2 linked regions of the Xenopus tropicalis genome follow. The protein of the gene in region 2 interacts with the protein of the main gene of each other region in a biochemical or structural test. Links are inferred from orthologs where the notes say so. Each region holds a gene or a part of one and is shown on either strand. Other genes may lie near its edges.

Evidence for each region.
Region 1: the proteins of rp2 (region 2) and arl3 form a complex in vitro, tested with the Homo sapiens proteins (2 studies listed by BioGRID). The link is inferred for Xenopus tropicalis from reciprocal best matches to the Homo sapiens genes RP2 and ARL3.

What each region holds. Positions count from the first base shown.
Region 1 is NC_030683.2:29,019,472-29,024,059, reverse strand, and holds the start of arl3 (ADP-ribosylation factor-like protein 3), read right to left. Parts: upstream 2,962-4,588; 5' UTR 2,868-2,961; coding exon 2,865-2,867; intron 1-2,864. UniProt on the Homo sapiens protein: Small GTP-binding protein which cycles between an inactive GDP-bound and an active GTP-bound form, and the rate of cycling is regulated by guanine nucleotide exchange factors (GEF) and GTPase-activating proteins (GAP).
Region 2 is NC_030678.2:114,951,985-114,955,815, reverse strand, and holds part of rp2 (protein XRP2), read right to left. Parts: intron 2,765-3,831; coding exon 2,099-2,764; intron 760-2,098; coding exon 645-759; intron 144-644; coding exon 58-143; intron 1-57. UniProt on the Homo sapiens protein: Acts as a GTPase-activating protein (GAP) involved in trafficking between the Golgi and the ciliary membrane.

The sequences.
Region 1 (4,588 bases), on a different chromosome or scaffold from region 2:
TTACTTCAGAAAGTCTACAATAATTTATATAAATAAGCTGCTGTGTAGCCATGGAGGCAGCCATTCAAAGGAGAAAAGGCACAGGCACATAGCAGATAACAGATAAAACACTATTGTATTCTACAGAACTTATCTGTTATCTGCTATGTAACCTGTGCCTTTTCTCCTTTTTTCCAGCTTGAATGGCTGCCCCCGTGGCTACACAGCAGCTTATTATATAAATTATAGTAGTGTTACTGTAGCAAACACACCAGTTTTACCAGTGCAGGGCAACAGTGCATTATATTTTTATTACTTTAAAGCTCTTTAATTTTTTGGTGTTACTGTTCCTTTAAGGTATGGAGATCCAAATTACAGAACAATCCCTTATCTGTAAAACCCCAGGCCTTGAGCATTCTGAATAACAGGTCCAATACCTGTATATGCAAGTTTAATTGAAACAAATATACACTGTAAACACCACTAGGACAGGAACTAATGTGAATGATCAACAACCACTATAAAGTGTTGTTTAACATCAGCACTATATCAAAAATGATTTATAATAATTGTTATACATTATGAAACATACAGTTGTAAATATATTTAAACAAAGAGGCCCATTGCTAGTGTTACTGATTTATCAAAATGTGAGTTTAAAGTCTAATACACACAAAAACTCACCCATGTTCTATTCATTCCTATGGGTTTTTAAGAAGTGTATTTATCAATCGGTGAAAGTTCACAATTTGATAAATATGCTTCTAAAATTTCCATAGAAATACACAGATCATGATTTTTATGTATTAAATAAGTTAAACATTTATATATTATGTTTTTATGTATTAAATCTGACTTTAAATCTTAATCCAAATTCCAAACTGGAGAACTGCAGCCAAAAATAGTTAAATACATAAAGTAACAATAGTAACACCAAAATAAATGAAATGAAAATGTTTTAAAGTAATCAGGACATAATGTACTGTTGCCCTGAAATGTTAAAATGTGTGTGTTTGCTACAGAAACACTACTATAGTTTATATTAAACAAGCTGCTGTGTAGCCATGGGCTAATATGTTTTCTGCTATGTAACCTGTATCTTTTCTCCTTTTTTCCCCAGTTTAATGGCTGCATCTCATGGCTACACAGCAGTGTATTTATATAAACCATAGTTGGGTTTCTGAAGCAAACTCAACTGTTTCAATAGTACAGGACAACAGTACATTATATTTCAATTACTTTAAAACGCCTTCATTTTTTGATGTTAGTGTTCCTTTAAAAGGGCAGTATACATCTACATATAGCTTCACCATCAAATGAATAGAACTTACCCTACAAATACATTCTGCCTAGTCTGTTAATATAGAAGAATACATATGTTCACAGTTATTTTTACCACACATGAAACAATGCTTACTGAAACAGAACCACTCATAATGCATTGTGGTCAACCATTAGAAAAGTTTTTGCAGGTGAAGCGTATTAGGAATGGAATATTAGGATGAAACTCTTGAATAAGCGGTGCAACTGACAAATAAATGTTATCATAATTACTTATCTGCTTGCAAGTTCCTATTTTGGGGACAGAGATGCCAATAATGACTTCAATAGGGAAAATTGGGCAACATCATTCTGTATGGCAGGTCTGTACAAACTAGAGCATTATAGGCCTTTAAGGTGGCCATACACCTTGTAGCTGCCGATATCGGGACCTTAGACTGATTCGGCTGCTTATCGGGCCATGTAGGGGGACAACAGGCCTGCCCGACCGACATCTGGCCTGAAATGGGGCAGATATCAATCGGGCAGGTTAAAAAATTTGGTCGGATCGGGGACTACGACGGCTCGTTGATGCAGTCCCCGAACCAATTGCGCCTATTACCAGCGTTCTAATTCGATCGTTTGTCCCCAGGGCCAAACAACCAACCGAATTAGCCTGAATTCACCCAATATCCCCCACCCGTAGGTGGGGGATATCGAGACAAGAGCGGATCTTGACATGTATGGCCACCTTAACTCCTCAAGTCATTATTACAGCCCCTAGTTTGCTCAAGGGTTTAAAAAACGTATTTTTATGACATCAAAATGTGCATATAATCCAGCAGCGGAACATGTAATGTAAAAAATGATCAACAAACTACAAATAAAATTTGATCCACATTGATTTATAGTCAACAGCAGCATAACGGAGCCCCACAGCGAGATCATTTGAGCGCCCTCCAAAACTAGCAGCAACTGCAGGGTCTGCCTCCTCTCCAGATACTACTGCTTGTATAAAACATAACGTTATCTCTACTTATCTACATCCATGCATTGCTGCTGGGGACTATTCTACTGATGTACAGGATGTAATACATCAATGAGACCCAGGAGAAATAGATAAGAGCAGTCTCTAAAAGAGACCAAAGATTTTTATGCTCGAATTAAAAGATAAGGTAATATCTGTATTCCCTTTGGTATAGACCTGGCATTAGGCCTGGAGCTTTGCCGATTTAATCTCTTTCCTTAACCCCTTGGAGCCGGAGAGCCTCTAGCTGTGACTCTCCTATTGGCCTGGAACTACAATGTCCGGCTATCAGGGGATTCTGGTAGTTATAGTTCCCGGTCCCGGTTACGGTGTGTGCGATTTAAGCTGAAAAGCAATGGATGAGCAGCGGAACGGTGACAGTCCTCCCTCTCCCCTCCCTTTTTACCTCTTTAGCATCATGGCGTCCCGGCAACCATAGCTTTCTATACCCATTGAGGAATTCTCCTATTACACATTTTTTATTTACCAATAAATAAGCTAGTTTTCATTATCTGCTGCCTCTTTCCCTCCCCAAACTCCTGAAGGATTTTAACATCCTAAAATACCAGATACGAGAACCCCTCAAAGCACCACTCACCATCCTCTCAGCGACTCTCCAGGTTACCAGGGGCAACTACGTCACCCAGCGACGCGGCGTGCGTTGTACGTTTAGCCACGCCCCTAGACGCTGCGCATTGAGGGCAAACCTCGCCCTGAACTACCACCTTGCGGCGGTGTGCGCATGCGGAAAACTTGCAGTCGCTTGTAAAGCACCAAGGGAAGAGAAAGTGGGAGCGGCACAGATATGGGACTCGATTGGCTGAGGTAATAGGTGGGGGCAGTCCTAAAGGCTACAGTGATCTAAGTAGCTAGCGTGGACGGAAGACCTGAAAAGTGAATGGCAGTTAGTGGAGTGAAGAGTTGTAGCCACGGTACAGGTACGGTACATGAGGAGTTTGCACTATGTACAAGTAAATGCCTAACCGATGTGCATTGGTGGCTTTGAATTTTGTTATGGTTGCATCATATGTATAGGTGAAAGGCTATTGCAAGGTTCCTGTGCCATATGTACTCCTTAACTGCCCTTATGTGTCCATTGTGGCATTGTAAGCAACTGTAATCTTATATATATCATATATAGGGAGAAATGTGCCTGCTGATAATCTGATATAGGGAGAAATGTGCCTGCTGATAATCTGATATAGGGAGAAATGTGCCTGCTGAAGCGTGTATAGTACGTATCGGTATAGTACGTATCGGTATAGTACGTATCGGTATAGTACGTATCGGTATAGTACGTATCGGTATAGTACGTATCGGTATAGTACGTATCGGTATAGTACGTATCGGTATAGTACATACATTACATTAACATTTATTTATAAAGCGCCAACATATTCCGCAGCGCTGTACAATAAGTGAGTTACATACATTGGACATACAGAGTAACATATAAAGCAATCAGTAACAGATACAAGAGGTGAAGAGGGCCCTGCCCAAAAGAGCTTACAATCGTATCGGTATAGTAAGTATGGGTATAGTAAGTATGGGTATAGGTATAGTACGTATCGGTATAGTAAGTATGGGTATCGGTATAGTAAGTATGGGTATCGGTATAGTAAGTATGGGTATCGGTATAGTAAGTATGGGTATCGGTATAGTACGTATCGGTATAGTACGTATCGGTATAGTACGTATCGGTATAGTACGTATCGGTATAGTACGTATCGGTATAGTACGTATCGGTATAGTACGTATGGGTAGAGTTATGTATGTAGAGTTATGTATATGTCAGTTATATATAATGTATTATGAGCGGTTCCCTATAGGGGGAACTGTACCTGCTGAGCTGTGTGGGATATGCTACAGTTTAGTCAATTATATGGAGAGCTGTCTCTGCTGAAACGGCACTCTAATCATGTATAGTGAGTGCTGTCTCTGCTGAATAATGTGCTTTAAATGGCGCTGTCTCTGCTGAATAATGATTTCATTTTAATGGCACTCTAATCATGTATAGTGAGTGCTGTCTCTGCTGAATAATGTGATTTAAATGGCGCTGTCTCTTTTGAATAATGATTTCATTTTAATGGCACTCTAATCATGTATAGGGAGTGCTGTCTCTTCTGAATAATGATTTGATTTTAACGGTACTCTAATCATGTATAGTGAATGCTGTCTCTTCTGAATAATGTGATTTAAACGGCACTCTAATCATGTATAGTGAGTGCTGTCTCTGCTGAATAATGATTTCATTTTAATGGCACTCTAATCATGTATAGCGAGTGCTGTCTCTTTTGAATAATGATTTCATTTTAACGGCAC
Region 2 (3,831 bases):
AATCCCACACACTCTAAAAGAAGAGATCTTTTTTTTCTCTCAGGCTTAACCACTCACCTTGGAGCCACTGAAGGTGTTGCTGATCACTGACTGACAGTTGTCTACTGCTCCATCGCCATTAAATTCCAGTGCAACTACAGGACCTTGAGAGGAAAAATTGTAGGCAGGACATAAGGATAAAGACAAAATATAGGGCATAGCTTCAGTTGGAAAAGGGCCATGGTTGGGCCTGAAATGTTGTTTGATCGAGAGACTGACAGCCATGAGATTCCAATAAAGGCTTTTTAAATTTGGAAATTTGGATGGTGCTGTGATTCCTAGTTGACTAGTGGACAACCTGCAAAAGGCACCTGTTTTCTAGAGAAGTAGAATTGGTGAGTGCTGGCCAATTACATATAAGGATCATACCCAATGACACTGGGTAAAGTAACCATGTGAGGATTTTTATCTACAGTTATCTTATGGAAAGTGGTGGCCTATTTCTTCATTTAAGGTTAGGCACGAGTTACCACATAAATCAAATTCTGATTTTTTATTATATCAGGCACAGTTTTGTTTTCATATCCTATGACTGCATTACAAGTGCAGGGTGATGAAATGCTGTAAAAATTAAAAATGAACCTTCAGCAAGGCCTAGGTCATACCTTTCTCCACCAGAGAGATTAAATCTGTGACTTTGTCCTGAAATACTCTTTTTGCATCTTCAGTTTTCATTGCAACTTCCTTAGTCTGAATAAGAGATAGCCCTTTGCCAACCATCTGCATTAAGGATGAAAAAGTGGGTTAGGCACAACATGGTAGAGATTACCAACAATAAAACCCCCCCAAAAGATGGGGCTCTTCTAGAAAATAACAAGCTTTTTATAAGTGCAAAGACACTATGATATTCACTAAAGGGTATAGTTTTAGCATTAGGAGGGATACTTTAAAAATTAATACATTTGTTTTGTTTTTTCCCTTTTAAAACTTGAACTATATATATCACAAAATATTAAATTTTAGTCTCACAAGTGTCATAAAACTATTATTAAGGTAGCATGCGTTACCTTCCTGCTCTTATGCTGGGAGAAAAAAAAATATGCACTTTCCTGGTCCAGCTCAGCCCCATCAATTGGAAAAAGAAGCTTCATTACCAAAAATGGGGCAGAGCAGGCACATACTAACAATGACTCCAAAATAGTTACAAATCTTTTTTTCAGAGCTGATCAGAGCATAAAAAGCTCTGGCCTTGGTATAGGTTTTTACCTTATCACAAAATAAGTATGTATAAAACTGACCATACAAGCACCGATATTATCGTACAAAACAAGGTTTTGTACAATATTTGGGGCGTGTATGGTGGCTCAACGAGATGACCGATATCTCAAATGCCTTCAGGCGTGGCAAATATTTTGATCGTCATTGAAGGCGTGGAGCAAAAGCTGCTTTTAGGGCTGAATCGTCAGATAGGGCTAGAATTCCTATTGTTTCTACCTCTATATGATACAATTCAGCCCTGAACTTCAGTGGAGGGTACGAACAATCTTTCTTGTGACCAATGGTCACAGGAAAGATCATAATTGTTACGTCTATGGCCACCTTTAGTCATGTTTCCAAAAAACCACAGCATTCTTCTATGCCTGTGCATTAAAACTCAGTGGGTGGGTTTTAGCTATAAGGGTGTTCAATGCCATTGCAAAGAGCAATACTGGGCTTTCTTGCAAGAATTAGTTCTGCTTTTCAAATGAATGAGGATGCTCTCGCCTCAAACCAAAATGCTTTTTTTGTGAATCCACTTCCCTAGCTCTATATAAGCTTATCAGAAAGCTAGACAATGTACTGAAGAGCTCCAAGAAGGATGAATGGCCTGGAATTGGAAAACTGATCAGCATACTGCTTTAGCTGTGCTTTAAAACACTGCAGCTTCAGTTATTCCATGTCAATGAAAATTTTTAAGAGCAATAATAGGATTCATCCCAGAATTCTTGCTTTCAAACTGTAAATTTCGCTTTTATACAGGAAACATAATTTTGATGCTTAACAATAAACTGAATTGTAATATATTATACATTTATACTAGCCCTGGCCAGGTGCAATAAAAGATTGCAACTTCTATTACCTCATCGATCATTTTTCTAGCATTTGCTGTGGTGTAATCTCCAGCAAAGAAAACCACCAAGCAGGATTCATCACTTTTCTTCAGCCGCTGCCCCCAGGTTACAGGTATTATGCTCTTATGAATATCTGCAGAAACCCGAACACATTTCAGCTCTTCTGAATCAGGCAGGGGTATAAAATCTTGGATGACAGAATCAGGTGGGAGAAGGGACCAGTTTGTTTCTCCAGCAACAGGTGTAAAGTCATGGATGTTGCTCCATGTATTGTTAAAAATGCTCAATCCAGCTTCCTTGAACTGCAATGCCAGCTCTGGGTAATAGTACTGAAAGCATCCAAACTTCATGCCTGTAGAGGACTCTATAATAGGCTGGGTGGAGCAGCACAGGAACACATCCATTCTCCTGCAGTCCCTAGTGCGGAATTGTTGGCAGGCCACCACGCATTTGCAGTCTTTACAGTCACGGAAAAACACACTGCCCTTTACAGGCCCTAAAAATATGCGACAGTTGGTACAATCGTCAATAGTGATGGTTGCAGAGTGGTCAAAGATGTAGATGTTGCAGTTTTCACACTCCTGTATAACAAATTGTTGACCTGCAACTTTATCTGGCAGTTTGCCTACAGTCTGGTCCTTTAGTCCAGAAAACATATAATCCTTTGGGTCAACCTAATGAAAATATAAAAGAAAAATAGAGATCATTATTGGAGGAGGAAATGAAATGTAAAAAAAAAACCCTTATGCTCCATTCAGAAAGCATACACAACTCTCTATGCCTTACAAGTGCATAGAGGGAAACTATATAACTAAACATTGTAGCTGCTTATAAAAATATAATATCCAATATCTAATCTATACATTTGTCTGCCATCAGAGTTTTAGTGAAAACGCAATACGTCAGCTCTCCTCTGGCCAATGCCTTTTACTGTTATTCTCAGCACTTTCACAGAACGTGTAAAGTATTGTGGCTGGAGCAAGCCAAAAATATTGTGTGACAATGGTATAAGTAATCAGAACAAGAAGTTGAGAGAATAGTAGATACCACTTTTCACAACAACTATATTTACAAATACCCTTTGAAATAAATGAAAATATTAAATTAAAGTAAACTAGAAAGTTGCTAAAAATTGCATTTTCATTCGTTATGCAAAAAATCTAACACTATCCATCTAAGGGAAATGATACTTTGCAACAAACTCTTAAGGCTATGATATATTTTCTGTTGTGTGCAATATATTTAAAGGCAAACTGTTTACAGCAACCTACATGTACTATCCCACTTAGCTTACAGCCACATAAGACATATTGTTAATGCAACAAAGGACTACAGAACTTATTGATGCTGTTGAAAAAAAATATTTACTTTCTGCCACTGATTTTTTTTTTTTTACAGCACCCTCAATGTAAAGGAGACTGTCTGTAGGCAGCCTTATTTTCCTGCAAGCATTAACGCCAGTTAGTCATTACTTAACCTTTGCCCTTATAGAAAACTTAAACCTAGTAGACAGAACAGGAAGCTGTGGTGTGGAAGTCAAAGAGCTATTCATTCATACTTAAGCTATGAAAGATTTTTTTTTTAACATTTTTAAAATTGTTCTAAATGCAGATTAACCAACTGTCTGCCAGAATGCCACTCTAATTAGCTGGTAGAATGTTCAAATAATGCATTTGTCTGTGAAAATACAGAAGCCTACTGATTCTGTGTGCCGGGGGGGGGGGGGGGGGGAGGCATACAC